Linked DNA regions of Anolis sagrei. The protein of the gene in region 2 interacts with the protein of the main gene of each other region in a pairwise test. Links are inferred from orthologs where the notes say so. Each region holds a gene or a part of one and is shown on either strand. Other genes may lie near its edges.

Region 1 (8,754 bases), on a different chromosome or scaffold from region 2:
GATAAAATCAAAATAATCAGGAAGCCATTACACCTCGATTTTTAGTATTACACCCATTAAATAGCCTTCCTTCATCTCCTTATGGTTTTAAACACATTCTTCTCTGAAAGCTCCAGTGCTTGACAGGTCTTGTAAGGCAGCCCTTCTTAACTTTTTCTTAACTCCTTTCTTCCCAAGAAAAAAATTGTAACCTCTTTTGCACCCAAGAAATATTTACACAAAAAGGGTATATGGGTATATAAAATAGTTATACAAATCAAACATTTACTGATAATATGTAAGCATTTACAAGGCTTGCTAAACAGGCTGATTTTCCTTTTTGGGGAGTACAGCTGAAGCATCTTCTCCAGAGTCCATTATAAACACTGCATTGTTACTAACATATTTGTGTAAATGAGTGGTGGTCAGAAAACTTTCATTGTTGCCAAATTTTTCAGGACATCAACACTGAGCTAAGGGGACCAACATTTTAAGAAGCACTGTTGTAGATGAAAAGCCATTAGACTGCCATATCCCATGGCCTTGCTTACATTAGGTTGGGAACTTTTTGCCTTCCAAATGTTTCAGTCTACAGCTCCCATCATTTGTTACAATGTTTAAAAGCAATGCTTTTGGGTTTGAAACATTCAAAAACCAATTTACTAGTGCCTTGAAAGATCTCACCAGCTACTGCAAAGATATACACCTGAAGCCTAACCCTGCCAAGACACAAGTGTGTGCTTTCCACATACGTAACTGAAGGAAATTGAAAGTTACCTGGGAAGGTCAAGAATGTGAACACTGTTTCCATCCTAAATATCTTAGTGTCACCTTAGATCCAACACTAACATTTAGGAAACATTGTATGAACACCAAGCACAAAGTAACTGCATGCAATAACATCCTGAGGAAACTTACTGGCACCACATGGGGAGCAGATCCAAAATTAATGAGAACATCAGCCCTGGCCTTGTCTTACTCAACTGCCAAGTATGCTTGCTCCGTCTGGCACAAATCTGCCCACACGAAGCAGGTGAATATAGCACTGAACAAAACATGTAGACTAATCACAGGCTGTCTTAAAGCTGGACGTGTTGATATATCCTACAAGGTAGCTTGTAGAATATATTCCCCCCCCCCCCCGTCTCAAATCCAGGAAGTTGCTGCTAACTGAGAGAGACATAAGGTTGAACACTGTGAAAGCCACCCACTGCATGGCTACCAGCCTCCTCCCAGTAGACGCAAATCAAGGAAAAGCTTTATGAGAATCACCACTCCTCTTAATGTTCTCCCAGCAACAGCAAGAGTATCCCTCTGGGCAGCTAAACCAGAAAACCCCAAATGGATGGCCCCCCCGCGAGGGTCTTCCTCCAAGGGCAAACCAAGAATGGGCAACTTGGAAGTCCCTGAACACACTCAAAAATAGAATGGGAAAATCAAAAGACAACCTGGAAAAATGCCACTATCTAAAAGAATCCTCCACCTTGTGCAACTGTGTGGCAGAAGAAACAACTCCCCATATGCATGACTGTCCACAGTATCCTGCCTCATGTATAGAGGAAAAAATGTTTAAAGCTACAATGTGATCGCTGTTGCCCGTTTTTGGTCAAAGAATATTTCACCACTTCTATTCCCTCTATTTTTATCAATTTTATACTTATTTATGCAATGCTTGTGACACAAAATAAACAAAAACGATTCTTAAAATTGGCCTTGCTAGTGTGAATTTTGTGAGGTGAAGCTCGAAGTGTTTAAAGCACCAAACATTACTCATCTTTCAACTTCAATTGTTTCCTTGACAAATATAGCAGAGCTCTCCCACCACCCCACAGATGGGATTCCTAACACAAGTCCCTCTTTCCCAGTTTTAGTTCAAGCACCTACTTGACAATGTTGGGATGGTTCAGTTCCTTTAGCAGTGAGATTTCCCGGATGGCTGTGCTTGGGACTCCCTCCGTTTCCCTGGAAGCAAACAGGAAAGACAAGGTGAGAAGGGAGGGGATGGAACTACAGGGCTGAATGACATATGGTTTTGCTCCAGGTCGTCTATCCTTAAATTATCACATAGTATGACTGAACAAAAAAAAAAAACACCATACATACATATTGTTAACAACTGGAAAACTCTTTCTAAAAGAACAAGCCACATTTTTTTCCAAAAACACAATTATTCCACCAGCAGCAGCAGCACCAAACGAAGCACCTTGTAAAGCAAATGACTCAAGTATATTCAGCTTGAGATGCAATAACTGGCTTATGCTCACTCAAGAAAAATCACTTTGCACAACTAAAGCAGCTCCAAGCAGAGGCAAGAAGTATCCCAACTTGTTGAAAGGTATGGAAATTCAGATCCCACAGATCAAGTTTGGTGCAAGCCATGATTGTGTTTTCCTTTACATAGGTTCTCACTCCAAAAGCAATTCAGTCACTAGCTACCCTATGAAACCCAAGCAACAAAGAAAATTCCTTTTCTCCAGCACTGCCTGCCATTCCTGCAATGGAGGTCAAAAATATATTTATATTTCTACCTTTGATAGCAATTACAGTCCTCCTTTCAACATGCTGTGGCCCATTCTATGGAAACCTGGGATTTGTATAGTAAGGAGGTGTTTACAATTATCTCCGCTAGTTCTGGTTTGAGACCAGGCTTCAAACTCCTGCTCAGCCCTGATAGAAACCCACTGGGCAAGGCACAGCCCTACAGTTAAATAAATGCCCACATTAGCTGCTTTATTTATTTATTTAGGACATTTATATGCTGCCCTTCTCACCCTGAAGGGGAATCAGAGCGGCTTACAAGGTATATATACCTACAATATATTATATTATTAGCATAGTACAATATCAGTTTTAAATATTGCTATATTGTACTATACCAATTATATTGTAATATTATTAGTAATATAAATATATAATCATAATATCATATTATTATTAGTGGTATTATATTGCATTACATTATAATATTATAATTATTATATGTATATACAATATATTTTATTATATTATTAGAATAGCACAGGAGACAAAGTGGAACTGTCCCCTCCCCCCCTCTTTCACTCTGGCCCAGAGCAGCAGTTGTGCTGGGGGGGGGGGGTCTCCAGCTGATGGCATATACAGGAGACAAGGTGATGCTGTCCCCTGGCCTCCCCTGAGGCTTTGACCTAGATTATATGTCAGTGTGGACTCAGATTACCCAGTTCAAAGCAGACATTGTGGGATTTTTTTGCCTTGATATTGTGGGTTATGTGGCTGTGTGGAAGGGCGCTCAGTCTCAGAGGAAGACAACAGCAAACCCCCTCTGAACAAATCTTGCCAAGAAAACCCCACAATAGAGTCATCTTCGGTCCATGACTGAAACTTAGTTGAAGACAAACAAATGTGAGGGAATATTCAACTAAATCCAAATCCCAAAGATACCTCACCCAAGACCAGAACTTTGTAAGGTGGCAACATGACAGCTAACACAGTCCAAAGCTGAGCGTCCCTTTTCCGAAATGCCCAGAACAAGATGTGTTTTAGATTTTGGAATACCTTTATTTGTATACACACAGCAAAGGAGATAACTTGGAAGATTGATCCAAATCTACACACTACATTCATACACGTGATTGTACACACAATCTGACACTAACCTTGTACACCAGTGGTCCTCAACTTGTGGGTCCCCAAGTGTTTTGGCCTATAACTCCCAGAGATCCCAGCCAGTTTACCAGCTGTGAGGATTTCTGGGAGTTGAAGGCCAAAACATCTGGGGACCCACTGGTTGAGAAACACTGTTGTACACAATATTTTAGTAATTTTGTTTATGGAACCAAAGTTTGTGTACAATGAACTATCAGAAAGCAAAGGTGTTGCCACTTCAGCCACTCCCTTGGGGACAACTTTGGGGTGTTTTGGAATTCCAGATAAGGGAGCCCAAACGGTATCAAACTTCTATATCATAGATACCACTTTCTCTCACCCATCAGCTGCCTACATAATCAAAACAGTCTTGCCAACTTAAGTCTACTGAGGTAACCCAGGGTGCATCTACACCAGGCATGGGGCAACTCCGGCCCTTCAGGTGTTTTGGACTACAACTCCCACAATTCCTAACAGCCTACGACTTTTACGCCAATGGTTCTCAACCTGTGGGTCCCCAGATGTTTTGGCCTTCAACTTCCAGAAATCCTAACAGCTGGTAAACTGGCTGGGAATTCTGGGAGTTTCCGGGGACCCACAGGTTGAGAGCCACTGTTCCACGCCCTTCCTGGGACTCTTGGCCCAGGCCAAAGGCGGGGAAGCCTCCTCAAGCCCCTCCCCAACAGACTCCGGAGCAAGCCTGCCCTCGAAGGACCGCGCCCACGGCGTGCACGTGTGCCTGCGCACTCACGTGTCCAGGCGGATCTTCTTCAGGGCCACCACTTCGCCCGTGATTTTGTTCTTCGCCTTGTAGACCACCCCGTAGGTGCCCTCGCCGATCTTCTCCACTTTCTGGAAGTTCTCCATGGGCGGCGCTCGGGGAGGATCCCAGGGTGGCGGGGGAGGGGGGGCGGCTTTCTCCGCAGAGTGGCTTCCTCGCCGGCCCTTGCTTTCCGGCTTCCTCCCTCTCTCCCTTCTTTCCGCGCGCTTTCTTTTCCCGCGCGCCAGGCTCCTCCACTCGGAAGGGGCGGGACAATTGCCAAAGCTTCACAAGGCCCGGCCCCTTCCCTCCCTCCCGCCACGCGACTTCCCGCGTTCTCCTAGCCCCGCCCCTCCTCACGTCCTATTGGCTTCGGTGCCTGTGACGTAGCAGGTTTGTGAGGGGCGGGAAGAAGAGACAGAGAAGGAAAAAGGGAAGGAAGAAGGCGGGAAATCTGGCTCAAAGGGGACCGGGGAGAAGGTTAGGGTAGCAGAGTTTCTGGTATTTAGCCTGCAAATCAGTGTGTGCGGGTGTGTATATCTTCAATATAAATAAAAATGTAATGTTTGTTTGTGGGATTAACATAACTCAAAACCCACTGGACGAATTGACACCAAATTTGGACGCAAGACACCTATCATGCCAACGAGTGACCATCACTCATAATAACACTGAAAAACACAGCAGAAGAGACTTAGAAAGCAAAAAAATTAAAAATTCATTATAACGCATGCGCAAAACCACACACACACATATATACATCCACACACACAAACACGTATATACTAGGGCTGGGTAACCACGGAAAAATTTGTTTCTAAACTCGATTCGTTTTTAGGGGGTTTTTGCGTTTCGTTTTTTAAAAGAATTCCGAAATTTTTCTTTAAAAAAGTTCAAAATATACAACATTTCGTCAATTACGAAACAATTACGAATCGATTCGTTAATGGCGGACGCAATTGCGCAACATGCAAAAAAAAAAAACCCTCCAAATGGGACAGGGAGAACTTCTGAAGCTTCCCTCTCCCTCTGTTGTTGACTGTTGGTGTGATAATTTATTTTTTATCACTGATAAAACAAACAACATCCCTAAAACTTGCACCAGACATATGGAAATAATAATGAAACAATTTCAAAACGATTTTGAACCAATTACGAAATAAATTGAAAAATTCATTTCAATTTTTAGTTGCTCCTGCATGGCTCAATATCGGATCGTAAGCTAATTTAAATACGAATCAATAACGAATTACGAAATTAACGAACGAAACCGCCCAGCCCTAGTATATACACATATACACAAATATACACACACACAAAGCACATATGCACCAACTGGGCCACAGCAACGTGTGGCAGGGGACAGCTAATGTTCATTTGTGGGATTAACATAACACAAAAACCACTGGACGAATTGACACGAACTTTGGACACTATACCCCTAACAAACCAACGAGTGACCATCACTCATAACCGCCCCCTCCCCCCCAAAAAAAAACAGTGGAAAAGACTTTAAAACCCTAAAAAACTAAATAATGAAAAGCTAAATGACGATACAGAAAAAAAGGGAGGGAAGGAAGGGGAGAGAGAAAGGAAAGAAGAAAGGAAAAAGTAAGGGGGAAAAGAGGGAGGGAAAGAGAAGGAAAGAGAGAAGGAAGCATGGAAGCAAAGAGCGCAGGAAGGAAGGAAAGAAGTAGAGATGGAAGAAAGGGGAGAAAGAGAAAGGAAAAGAAAAAGGGGTAAGGAAAGAAAGGTAGAGAAGGAATGTGAGAAGGACAGAAAAAAGGAAAGGAAGGAAAGAGGGAAGGAAGGAAGGAAGGAAGCAGAAAAAGGGAAAGAAGGAAAGAGAGAAGGAAGGAAGTTAAAAGCAAAGGAAGGAAAGAGGTAGAGAAGGAAGAAAGGAGAGAAAGAGGAAGGAAAAGGAGAGAAAGGAAGGAAAAGGAAAGAAAGAGGTAGAGAAGGAAGGAAGGAGAAAAGGACAGAGAAAAGGAAAGAAAGAGGAAGCGAAGGAAGGAGGGAAAGAAGCATAAAAAGAAGGAGGGAAGGAACGAAGGGAAGAGAGAAGGAAGGATAGAAGCAAAGAGTTAAGGAAGGAAGGAAAGGTAGAGAAGGAAGAAAGGAGAGAAAGAGGAAAGAAAACAAAAACCACTGGGTGAATTGACATCTAATGGGGACACAATACACCTATCAGGCCAATGAGTGACCATCACTCATAAAAACACTGAAAAAAGACAGCAGAAGAGACTTAAAAAGCAAAAAAATAAAAATGCATTACAAAACATGCACAAAATCACACACACATATATATATATACACACAAACACACATATATACACATATACACAAATATATACACACACAAAACACATATACACAGACTGGGCCACAGCAATGTGTGGCAGGGGACAGCTAGTATCTTTATAAAATATCAGCGTGTATGTTTGTGCATGCAAAACTTGAAAAGTAGACGCCCGAATGACTTGAAATTTTAAAACAGAGTTACTATCCAATACACGTGTGTTTTAATAGTAAAATGAAATTATTACAACGGTTGCATTCAAAAATACACATGTGTTTTAACAGTAAAACTAGCTGTCCTTTTACCTCATCAGTTTAAGAAATAACCTATCACAGATCAGGTAGATGGCATAACCAATCACTGCACACCTTTCCTTTTACCTCAGCAGTGTAGGAAAAAACCAACCAATCACAGAACAGATGACATTTCACCTCAGTAGTTTAAGAAATCTTTCCTTTTTTTGAAGCATTTGTAAAATTTAATAAAACTGGATTAAAAAAAAGAAATGAAAGCTGAGCTGTGATTGGTTGCTATTGGGGTACAACTCATTACCCTTCGGGATGAGAAGGGCGGCATATAAATGTGGTAAATAAATAAATAAATACTGAAAAATGTGGCTTTGCAATGTTTTATATTTAACATATTGTTTTATACAAGACACTGCCATAGCCCATTGCTATGAAATACTGGGATCTATAGTTTTACATGGTATTTTGCCTTCTCTGCCAAAGAGTGCCAAACTCCAACTCCCAGGATTCCACAGTATTGAGCCATAGCAGTTCAAGCCATCTGTCAGGGGTGATTTGAATGCAACATTCCTGCTTCTTGGCAGAATGGGGTTGGACTGGATGGCCCATGAGGTCTCTTCCAACTCTTTGATTCTATGATTCTAAGTGGGATCAGACAGCATTACTTCTACAGTGTAGATGCACCCAAAGGTTTGTGCTACAACTTTTTTTCTCTCGTTCTCTAAGGTGCATCAGGATCCCTTTGCTCCCTGAACATTACATGTGATCAAAATGTACAACATAAGTGACTAACATTAGAGAAAACCCATGTGGGAAGCCTGGGAGATAAATGGTTCTTCCGTTAATTCCATTAAGGCATCACACTCTAACTGAAAAGTGTAAAATCTCTTACAGCAAATCAATAAAAATACCAATATCTATTGGCACCTGAAAGATACAACTTCTTCAAGGGAGTAAACCCCACTGACCATGCTGAAAAACCTGTCACTAATATTTTTTTAAAAAAAATCAGAAGATTTTCCCATTAAAAATCATGAATTATATCTTACGGAAGCTTATTCATGGGGGACGCCTCATTTACGCTTTTGAGAGTTAGTTCTGGATACAGATATTTTATGGTTTTAAATTTCAGGAACTAATGTCCATGTCATCAGATGAAGCATTACTGTTGGCATATTGTTGGTTTGCACCCATAAATGTTCACAGCCAGATGGGAATAAAGCACCCACTTCTTCTTAGCCAACCGCAGCTGTCAATTTCACATCTTTTAATTGGACCGAAGCAAAAAGCCGCCGACTTTTTAGAAAAAGTGTGTTACGGTAGCTGTTGCAATAAATGACTTTTTGGAAAAACCGTTGGAATGTGACCTTTCTAGCCATCTGCAAATCACAATCAGAGGATAAAATTAGAAAACATGGAATTCACATTGCAACACCCACTCTAGAATAGAATCATAGAATTGGAAGAGACCTCGTGGGCCATCCAGTCCAATGCCCTGCTAAGAAGCAGGAAAATCACATTCAAAGCACCCCCGATAGATGACCACCCAGCCTCTGTTTTAAAGCCTCCGAAGGAGGAGGCTCCATCACACTCCAGGGCAGAGAGTTCCACTGCTGAACAGCTCTCATAGTCAGGAAGTTCTACCTAATGTTCAGATGGAATCTCTTTTCTCATAGTTTGAAGCCATTGTTCCATGTCCTAGTCTCCAGGGAAGCAGAAAATAAGCCTGCTTCCTCCTCCCTATGACGTCCCTTCACGTATTTATACATGGCTATCTGACCAGTAAAAAGCATACTGAGAAAAGTGTCGGGAAGAACAGTTGAATAGGAGTTTTCTCCATCTCT
Region 2 (11,090 bases):
CTCTTCCAACTCTTGGATTCCATGATTCTATGATTCTATGCATATATATATACACACAATACACATATACACAGACTAGGCCACAACAATGTGTGGCAGGGGACGGCTAGAATATATATATATATTGCTTCAAGATGCCCTTTGTGACTGATAATACCCTTGCAACCTTCCTTCCTTCCTCGACATGCATGCCTTCCCTTGGCCTTCCAATCAGCCTGCAATTACTTAAAAGTTGCACACAGTTTTGGTGGGGGATCTTCACCCGAAATTCCCACCAGATCTGCTTTGCACTGGGTCATCTGAGTCCACACTGCCACAGAATCCAGTTCCAAGCAGGCAACGTGGGATTTTGTCCAGCGGTGTGGAAGGGGCCTCCGGTCACCCAGTTCCAAGCAGATCTCGTGGGATGACCTGACTCGACATCCTGGGTTAGAGGAACACGTGGAAGGAAGGAAGGAAGTGAAGGAGACTCATTGCAAAACGAGGGCCAAATGTGCTTGCGATGGGTGAGCGAGGTCCCTCCTGCAAAAGCAAAGCTTGGGCCACTTTCCCCACGTGTTTGAGGAGACAGAGAATTGGGGAAAGGACACGGATGACCACGGAAGACAAATGGAGTCAGAACAAGGCCAAACAATAACACCACTAACCTATTAACATTAATAACAACAGTATATTGACAGAAATATATAATCATTATTGTTGTTATTAACATACTATTAGGATTAATATGAATGATACCAATATATTTATTGTTATTATTAGTCATAATACTCCTTTGGGGGGGGGCAAGGGGTCTCTTGGAGTGGCCCCCGTTGAGGCCTGCAAAACAGGGGAGCCCCCCCTCCCAGCACCCCACTCACACAACTATTGATACAGATATATATATTTATAGAGATATATTTATATAGAGAGAGACTGAAATAAAAGTAGATATACATAGTCAGAGATAAATATATTTATAGTGATACAGATTTTATAGCTATATAACGAAAAAGAGAGCAATATAGAAAGGTATTTATAGAGGGATAGATATATTTATATTTATATAGAGAGAGATTTATAGAGAAATACAGATATATATATATAGAGAGAGAGAGAGAAGCAGAGATATATTTAAGATATATATATTTATAGAGAGATATTTATAGAGAGATATTTATACAGAAAGATATATATATATATATATATATATATATATATATATATGGAGATATATAGATATATGTAAATGTAGATATATATAGCGATATATATATATATATAGTTTTATATAGAGAGAGAGATTAATAGACATATAGAGAAATAAATATTTATAGAGATATATTTATAGAGAGAGAAAGATATATTTACATATATATATATATATAGGAAGAGAGATATATATTTAAATGTAGATATATAGAGAGAGAGCCATAGAGAGATAGAGAAATACAGATATATATATAGTTAAGATATATATTTATTGAGAGATTAATAGACATTAAGAGAAATAGATATTTATAGAAAGATATATTTATATAAAGAGATATTTATACAGAAAGATATATTTACAGACATATATTGAAAGAGATATAGATATAAATATAGATATGTATTTATAGAGAGACCCAGAGAGATAGAGAAATATAGATACATATATTTATAGTTAGATATATATTTATTGAGAGGTTAATAGATATAATCTATAGATTATAGAGAGGTATATTGAGATATATAGAGATTGATATATATATATAGATTTTTATACAGAAGATATATTTACAGAGATAAAGATATATTTATTTATTTATTTATATAGAGAGAGATATTTAAATATAGATAAATATAGATTTAGAGACACAAAGAGACATAGAGAGTGAGAAATACAGATATATATATATATATTTATAGTTAGATGTATATCTATTGAGAGATTAATAGATATATAGAAATATATATATATATTTATAGAGACAGATTTAACAGATATATATATAGAGAAAGAAATTGATATATAGAGGTATTTGTACAGAAAGATATATACACAGAGAGAGAGAGAGAGAGAAAGAGATATATTTATAGATATATAGAGATATTTAAATATAGATAAATAGATATTTAGAGAGAGAAATACAGAGATGGATATATAGATAGATATCTAGAGAGAGAGACAGAGAGATTTAAGCGATATGTATATAGAGAGGGATTGATATATAGAGATATTTCTAGAGATGAAGAGATATATTTATAGATAGATATAGAGATATTTAAATATAAATATGTATTTACAGAGACAGAGAGAGTGAGAAATACAGAGATATATCTATTTATAATTAGATGTCTATCTATTGAGAAATGAATATATATAGAGAGAGGCACAGAGATATATTTAGTTAGATCTATTTTTATTGAGAGATTGATAGATATATAGAGAAATAGGTATTTATTTATAGGTAAATATATAGATATATTTAAATATATATAGAGATGCACAGAGAGATAAATGCGGAGAGAGATATTTATAGTTAGATATATATTTATTGAGAGATTAATAGATATATATAGAGAGATAGATATTTAGTTATAGATAGGCAGATATATATATATATTTAAATATATATATTTATAGAGATGCACAGAGATATATTTATAGTTAGATTTATTTTTATTGAGAGATTGATAGATATATAGAGAAATAGCTATTTAAAGAGAGAGATATATATACTTATAGAGACAGATATATTTAACAGATATATATAGAGAGAGAAATTGATATTTAGAGGTATTTCTACAGAAAGAGAGATATATACAGAGATAGAGAGAGATATATTTATAGATATAGAGAGATATTTAAACAGAGAGAAATATATATTTACATATGGAGAGAGAGAAATGCAGAGATGGATATATAGATATATAAATAGAGAGATATAGAGATATTTAAATATAGATAAAGAGATATTTAGAGAGAGAGAAATACAGATATATATATATATATATTTATTTATATATATTTATATATATTTATAATTAGATGTCTATCTATTGAGAGATTAATAGAGAGAGAGGCACAGAGATATATTTATAGTTAGATTTATTTTTATTTTTATTGAGAGATTGACGGATATATAGAGAAATAGATATTTAAAGAGAGATATATATTTATAGAGATATATTTAACAGATATATATATAAATTGATATATACAGAAATTTCTACAGAAAGATATATATATATATATACACACACACACACATACAGAGATAAAGAGATATATTTATAGATATTTAGAGATATTTAAACAGAGAGAAAGATATATTTACATATGGAGAGAGAGGGAGATAAATACAGAGATGGATATAGATATATAAATATATAGAGAGAAATAAATATATATTTATGGAGAGATATATTTATAGACAGAGATATATTTACAGAGATATATTTACAGAGATATATTTATAGATATATAGAGATATTTAAACAGAGATATTTAATAGATATAGATATTTAAATATAGATAAATAGATATTAGAGAGAGAAATACAGAGAGATATATATTTATAATTAGATGTCTATCTATTGAGAGATTAATAGATATAGAGAGAGGCACAGAGAGATATTTATAGTTAGATTTATTTTTATTGAGAGATTGATAGAGATATATATAGAGAAATAGGTATTTATTTATAGATAGGTAGATATATTTAAATATATAGAGAGATGCACAGAGAGATATTTATAGTTAGATTTTTATTGAGAGATAGATAGATAGAGACAGAGAAATATTTAACAGAGAGAGAAATTGATATTTAGAGGTATTTCTACAGAAAGATAAATATCTACAGAGATAAAGAGATATATTTATAGATATAGAGAGATATATTTAAACAGAGAGAAATATATATTTACATATAGAGAGAGAGAAGGGGGGAGAGAGAAATACAGAGATGGATATAGATATATAAATATATAGAGATATATTTATAGATATATAGAGATATATTTAAGCAGAGAGATATTTAACAGAGAGAGAGGAATACAGAGAGATATCTATTTATAATTAGATGTCTATCTATTGAGAGATTAATAGATATAGAGAGAGGCACAGAGAGATATTTATAGTTAGATTTATTTTTATTGAGAGATTGATAGAGATATAGAGAAATAGATATTTAAAGAGAGAGATATATTTATAGAGACAGAGATATATTCAATATAGAGAGAAATTGATATTTAGAGGTATTTCTACAGAAAGATATATATCTACAGAGATATAGAGAGAGATATTTAAACAGAGATTAATAGATATTTAGAGAGAGAGAGACACACACAGAGGGAAATACAGAGATGGATATAGATAGATATCTAGATATGTAAATAGAGAGACTGACCTTCCTAGGCCGGCCAGTCTGTCCATGTTGAGGGCCAGGCTGGCCACCGGGGAGAGGCCCCAACCCAAGCTGCTGGTGGGCCGGCGGGGATCCATGCTTTCTCTCGCCTTGCCTTGCCTTGCCTGCCTGCCTGCCTGCCTGCCTTCCTTCCTATACAACACACAGGCCAGGAGTAGGAAGGCGGCAGCGGCAGCAGTCCCACCGACTCCTCAGGAAGTCCAGGCCGAATGGAGCCAGCGCGGGAAGGAGGACCCGCTTTTATACCCAAGGGGCGGGGCCTCAGCCCAAGCCACGCCCCCGACACGCCCCCTCTATTGATATTCGAAAAATAACAGCGCCAAAGAGAGCAGCAGGCGGCAGCCAATCCGCGCGCAGGAAGGAGGGCAGGCACCCGGAAGTCAGGGAGGAAGGAAAGGCAAGCAGAAAGGAAAGAAGGAAGGAGCGGGTTTAAACCGCATCATTTATTATTATTTATTTATGTATTGCAGTTACTTCTACCCCGCCCTTCTCACCCCCGAGGGGGGACTCAGGGCGGCTTACAAACAAAGGCCCAAATTCGATGCCTGTCAAAATATACAGCATATATAAAACAGTATAAACATTTAGCAGCATTAAAACACATCACTACATAATATAATAAAAACAATTTCATGCACAGTGAGATTCAGAGTTCCGAAATGTCCATTCATTCCAACAATTCCTGCTCATCAATGAGTCCTTATTTTAGCTGCCAGAATGTCCAAAAGCTTGGTCCCAGATCCAGGCCTTCAGTTTTTTTCTGAACGACAGAAGGGAGGTCGCTGATCTGATCTCCCCGGGGAGTGAGTTCCACAGGTGAGGGGCCACCACCGAGAAGGCCCTGCTCCTCGTCCCCGCCAGCCTCGCTTGAGATAGAGGCGGGGTCGAGAGCAGGGCCTCCCCAGAAGATCTTAGACTCCGAGGTGGGATGTAGATGGAGATCCGTTCGGACAGATACACTGGGCCGGAACCGTATAGGGTTTTGTAGGTTAAAACCAGCACTTTGAATTGTGCTCGGAATTGGATCGGCAGCCAGTGGAGCTGATGTAGCAGGGGGGTGGTGTGCTCCCTGTACGCCGCTCCAGTGAGCAATCTGGCTGCTTCTCGCTGGACTAATTGTATAGACTACGAGATTGGTTATGATTCTATGATAAGACGAAGCGGATTATTTTAGTGTAATTAGATGATAGTGTATTAGTGATATGTTGTTTTTTTTGTCGTTGTAGTTATTGTAAAATGTGTTTTTTATATGTTGTACACCGCCGCGAGTCGCCCTAGGGCTGAGAGCGGCAGTTAACAAATGCAGCAAATAAATAAATAAAATAATAGTTTCCGAGCAGTCTTCAAAGGCAACCCCACGTAGAGTGCATTGCAGTAATCCAACCGGGATGTGACAAGAGCGTGGACCACCGTGGCCAGATCTGGCTTCTCAAGGTACGGGCGCAGCTGGCGCACAAGTTTTAATTGTGCGAAAGCTCTCCCGGCCACCGCTGAGACCTGGGGTTCCAGGCTCAGCGATGAGTCCAGGATCACTCCCATCAGCTCTACTGTGTAGACCAGGGGTCCTCAAACTTTTTAAGCAGAGGGCCAGGTCACAGTCCCTCAAACTGTTGGAGGGCCGGATTATAATTTGAAAAACAAAACAATAATAATAATAACTTTATTTTTTATTATTGTTATTGCTATTGTGGTTGTTCTTATAAGTGAGGGGCTAGGTGTGAAAAAGTAAGTGCCTGCCACCCCTGTCTTCGGGAGCGTCCACACAGTAGGGCTGATGCGGTTTAAACCCGCTCCTTCCTTCCTTCCTTCTTTCATGCTTGCCTTTGCTTCCTTCCCGACTTCCGGGTGCCTGCCCTCCTTCCTGCGCGCGGATTGGCTGCCGGCTGCTGGTCTCTTATTTGTAGTGTAAAAAACACTTAAAAACAATACAATAATTAAAATGTTAACAAATATAAACTTATTAGTATTCCAATGGGAAGTGTGGGCCTGCTTTTGGCTGATGAGATAGGGTTGTTGTTGTTGTTGTTGTGTGCTTTCAAGTCGTTTCAGACTTAGGTTGACCCTGAGCGAGGGCCGGGTTAATGACCTTGGAGGGCCACATCCGGCCCCCGGGCCATAGTTTGAGAGCCCCTGGTGTAGACGCAACCAAAAACACCGGTGGCAGGCACTTACTTTTTGACCCCTGTTGTTGTTCATTCGTTCAGTCGTCTCCGACTCTTCGTGACCTCATGGACCAGCCCACGCCAGAGCTCACTGTCAGCCGTCACCACCCCCAGTGTCTCCTTCAAGGTCAGTCCAGTCACTTCAAGGATGCCGTCCATCCATCTTGCCCTTGGTCGGCCCCTCTTCCTTTTGCCTTCCACCTTCCCCAGCATCATTGTCTTCTCTAGGTGACCCCACGCCAAAGCTCCCTGTCGGCCGTCACCACCCCCAACTCCTTCAAGGTCAGTCCAGTCCCTTCAAGGATGCCATCCATCCACCTTGCCCTTGGTCGGCCCCTCTTCCTTTTGCCTTCCACTTTCCCCAGCATCATTGTCTTCTCTAGGTGACCTCATGGACCAGCCCACGCCAAAGCTCCCTGTCGGCCGTCACCACCCCCAACTCCTTCAAGGTCAGTCCAGTCCCTTCAAGGATGCCATCCATCCACCTTGCCCTTGGTCGGCCCCTCTTCCTTTTGCCTTCCACTTTCCCCAGCATCATTGTCTTCTCTAGGTGACCTCATGGACCAGCCCACGCCAAAGCTCCCTGTCGGCCGTCACCACCCCCAACTCCTTCAAGGTCAGTCCAGTCCCTTCAAGGATGCCATCCATCCACCTTGCCCTTGGTCAGCCCCTCTTCCTTTTGCCTTCCACCTTCCCCAGCATCATTGTCTTCTCTAGGTGACCTCATGGACCAGCCCACGCCAAAGCTCCCTGTCGGCCGTCACCACCCCCAACTCCTTCAAGGTCAGTCCAGTCCCTTCAAGGATGCCATCCATCCACCTTGCCCTTGGTCGGCCCCTCTTCCTTTTGCCTTCCACTTTCCCCAGCATCATTGTCTTCTCTAGGTGACCTCATGGACCAGCCCACGCCAAAGCTCCCTGTCGGCCGTCACCACCCCCAACTCCTTCAAGGTCAGTCCAGTCCCTTCAAGGATGCCATCCATCCACCTTGCCCTTGGTCGGCCCCTCTTCCTTTTGCCTTCCACTTTCCCCAGCATCATTGTCTTCTCTAGGTGACCTCCTGGACCAGCCCACGCCAAAGCTCCTTGTCGGCTGTCACCACCCCCAGCTCCTTCAAGGTCAGTCCAGTCACTTCAAGGATGCCATCCCTCCACCTTGCCCTTGGTCGGCCCCTCTTCCTTTTGCCTTCCACTTTCCCCAGCATCATTGTCTTCTCTAGGTGACCTCATGGACCAGCCCACGCCAAAGCTCCCTGTCGGCCGTCACCACCCCCAACTCCTTCAAGGTCAGTCCAGTCCCTTCAAGGATGCCATCCATCCACCTTGCCCTTGGTCGGCCCCTCTTCCTTTTGCCTTCCACTTTCCCCAGCATCATTGTCTTCTCTAGGTGACCTCATGGACCAGCCCACGCCAAAGCTCCCTGTCGGCCGTCACCACCCCCAACTCCTTCAAGGTCAGTCCAGTCCCTTCAAGGATGCCATCCATCCACCTTGCCCTTGGTCGGCCCCTCTTCCTTTTGCCTTCCACTTTCCCCAGCATCATTGTCTTCTCTAGGTGACCTCCTGGACCAGCCCACGCCAAAGCTCCTTGTCGGCTGTCACCACCCCCAGCTCCTTCAAGGTCAGTCCAGTCACTTCAAGGATGCCATCCCTCCACCTTGCCCTTGGTCGGCCCCTCTTCCTTTTACCTTCCACTTTCCCCAGCATCATTGTCTTCTCTAGGTGATCTCCTGGACCAGCCCACACCAAAGCTCCCTGTCGGCCGTGGCCACCCCCAGCTCCTTCAAGGTCAGTCCAGTCACTTCAAGGATGCCATCCATCCACCTTGCCCTTGGTCGGCCCCTCTTCCTTTTGCCTTCCACTTTCCCCAGCATCATTGTCTTCTCTAGGTGACCTCCTGGACCAGCCCACGCCAGAGCTCCCTGTCGGCCGTCACCACCCCCAGGGTCTCCTTCAAGGTCAGTCCAGTCCCTCCAAGGATGCCATCCATCCATCTTGCCCTTGGTCGGCCCCTCTTCCTTTTGCCTTCCACTTTCCCCAGCATCATTGTCTTCTCTAGGTGACCTCCTGGACCAGCCCACGCCAGAGCTCCCTGTCGGCCGTCACCACCCCCAGGGTCTCCTTCAAGGTCAGTCCAGTCACCTCAAGGATGCCATCCATCCACCTTGCCCTTGGTCGGCCCCTCTTCCTTTTGCCTTCCACTTTCCCCAGCATCATTCCCTTCTCCAGGCTTTGCTGTCTCCTCATGATGTGGCATTCAAAGGACTTCAACTTTGTCTCTCATCTCCTTCCCTCCAGTGAGCAGCCGGGCTTTATTTCCTGGAGGATGGACTGGTTGGATCTTCTCGCAGCCCAAGGCACTCTCAGAACTTTCCTCCAACACCACAGCTCAAAAGCATCTCTCTTCCTTTGCTCAGCCTTCCCGAAGGTCTAGCTCTCACATCCGTAGGTGACTCCAGGGAAGACCATGGCTTGGACTAGGCAATGGATCTTGGTTGCCAGTCTGATGTCTCTGCTCTTGACTCTTTTATCGAGACTGGACATTGCTCTCCTCCCAAGAAGGAAGCGTCTCCTGATTTCCTGGCCACAGTCTGCGTCCACACTCATCTTTGCGCCTAGAAATACAAAGTCTGTCACGGCCTCCACATTTTCTCCCTCTATTTTCCAGTTGTCAATCATTCTTGTTGCCATAATCTTGGTTTTTTTGACGTTTAGCTGCAACCCGGCTTTTTTTTTTGACCCCTAGCCCATCAATAATAACAACAACAATAGTAACAATAATAATAATAATAAATACTATTTAATAAATAATAATAATAATAATAGTATAATAATAATAATAATAAGTAAAACATAAATAAAATAACAATAATATAAAATTAAAAATAATTAATAATAATATTTAATAAAATTATTATTATTAATAGTAATAAAAATTACTATTTAAAATAAATAAAATAATAAAATAAAATTAAAATAATTACTACAAATAATAATAACAATAATAATTAATAAAAATAATAATAAAACAATAAATGCAAAGACTCTGGCACAAACCAGTCAAGATGGTCCCAGTGGTGATGGGCACACCGGGTGCAGTGCCTCAAGACCTTGGTCTGCACTTAAAAACAATCGGCACCAACAAGATTACCATCTGCCATCTGCCAACAGGTGGCCATCCAGCCTTTGTAATATTAGTATTAAGAAGAAGAAGAAGAAGAAGTAAAAAATAAATTAAATGAAAAAAATTAATATAAATAATAATAATAAATTGAGGATTTAAAGATCGAACTGCAAAGACTCTGGCACAAGACAGTCAAGGGGGTCCCAGTGGTGATCGGCACACCAGGTGCAGTGGCTGAAGACCTTGGCCTGCACTTAAACACAATTGGCGCTGACAAGATTACCATCTGCCATTTGCAAAAGGCCACCTTACTGGGATCTGCACGCATTATTTGCCAATACATCACACAGTCCAAGATACTTGGGAAGGGTCCGACATGGGATCCAATACAACAGCCAGCAGAGTGATCTTGTCTGCTGTGGACTCATCTTTTTGTGTCTCAAATAATAATAATAATAACAACAACGACAACAACAGCCAGCAGAGTGACCTTGTCTGCTGTGTACCAATCTTGTTGTGTTTCAAATAATAATAAAATATTTAACGATTATGATGATGATGGTGATGGTTATTACTTTTTGCATCTGGAAAATCCTGCAAATCTCTTGGGAAGACAAGACAACAAATGTCAGCGTGTTGGAAGAAGAAGCAAAGACCACCAGCATTGAAGCGATGGTCCTCCGTCATCAACTCCGTTGGACCAGCCACATTGTCCGGATGCCAAAGGTCACCATCTCCCAAAGCAGTTGCTCTACTCCGAACTCAAGAACGGAAAACGGAATGTTGGTGGACAGGAAAAGAGATTGAAAGATGGGCTCAAAGCCAACCTTGAAAACTCTGCCATAGACACTGAGAACTGGGAAGCCCTGGCCCTTGAGCGCTCCAGCTGGAGGACAGCTGTGACCAGCAGTGCTGCAGAATTCGAAGAGGCACGAATGGAGGGTGAAAGAGAGAAACGTGCCGAGAGGAAGGCTCCTCAAGCTAACTCTGACTGAGACCGCCTTCCACCTGGAAACCGATGACCTCACTGCGGGAGATGATGCAGATCAAGAATAGGGCTCCACAGCCACCTATGGACCTACCCTGGGAGACTATCCTACTTGGCCAACGAGGAATCACCTAACTAACTGGCTTTTGTTCTGCAGATAAGACCCCAAGGGAGCTTTCTCTATCATCTTGCGGCCGTTATCTGGGTTCCGGCCTGGCCCATGTTTGCGCATATTTGTGTAATGGAAAGGGCTTTGGCTTCCGATAGGCGAAGGAGCCATAACAAAAGGGGAGCTCACCATGTGGAAATCGCCATGGAGCCAGAACCCTGAAGCCATAAGAAAGAGGCACATCAAGGACATACACATACGTGGCAACAAAGGTTTGGGATGGAACCATACAACCTATGAGAGCAGCAACCCAAGCAAT

The links. The genes of interacting proteins can lie anywhere in the genome.
Region 1: the proteins of CDC25B (region 2) and CDK2 interact in a two-hybrid assay, tested with the Homo sapiens proteins (2 studies listed by BioGRID and IntAct). The link is inferred for Anolis sagrei from reciprocal best matches to the Homo sapiens genes CDC25B and CDK2.

The regions. Positions count from the first base shown.
Region 1 is NC_090022.1:146,497,408-146,506,161, reverse strand, and holds the start of CDK2 (cyclin-dependent kinase 2), read right to left. Parts: upstream 4,654-8,754; 5' UTR 4,471-4,653; coding exon 4,355-4,470; intron 1,942-4,354; coding exon 1,864-1,941; intron 1-1,863. UniProt on the Homo sapiens protein: Serine/threonine-protein kinase involved in the control of the cell cycle; essential for meiosis, but dispensable for mitosis. Phosphorylates CABLES1, CTNNB1, CDK2AP2, ERCC6, NBN, USP37, p53/TP53, NPM1, CDK7, RB1, BRCA2, MYC, NPAT, EZH2.
Region 2 is NC_090025.1:1,198,384-1,209,473, reverse strand, and holds the start of CDC25B (M-phase inducer phosphatase 2), read right to left. Parts: upstream 4,591-11,090; 5' UTR 4,469-4,590; coding exon 4,374-4,468; intron 1-4,373. UniProt on the Homo sapiens protein: Tyrosine protein phosphatase which functions as a dosage-dependent inducer of mitotic progression. Directly dephosphorylates CDK1 and stimulates its kinase activity.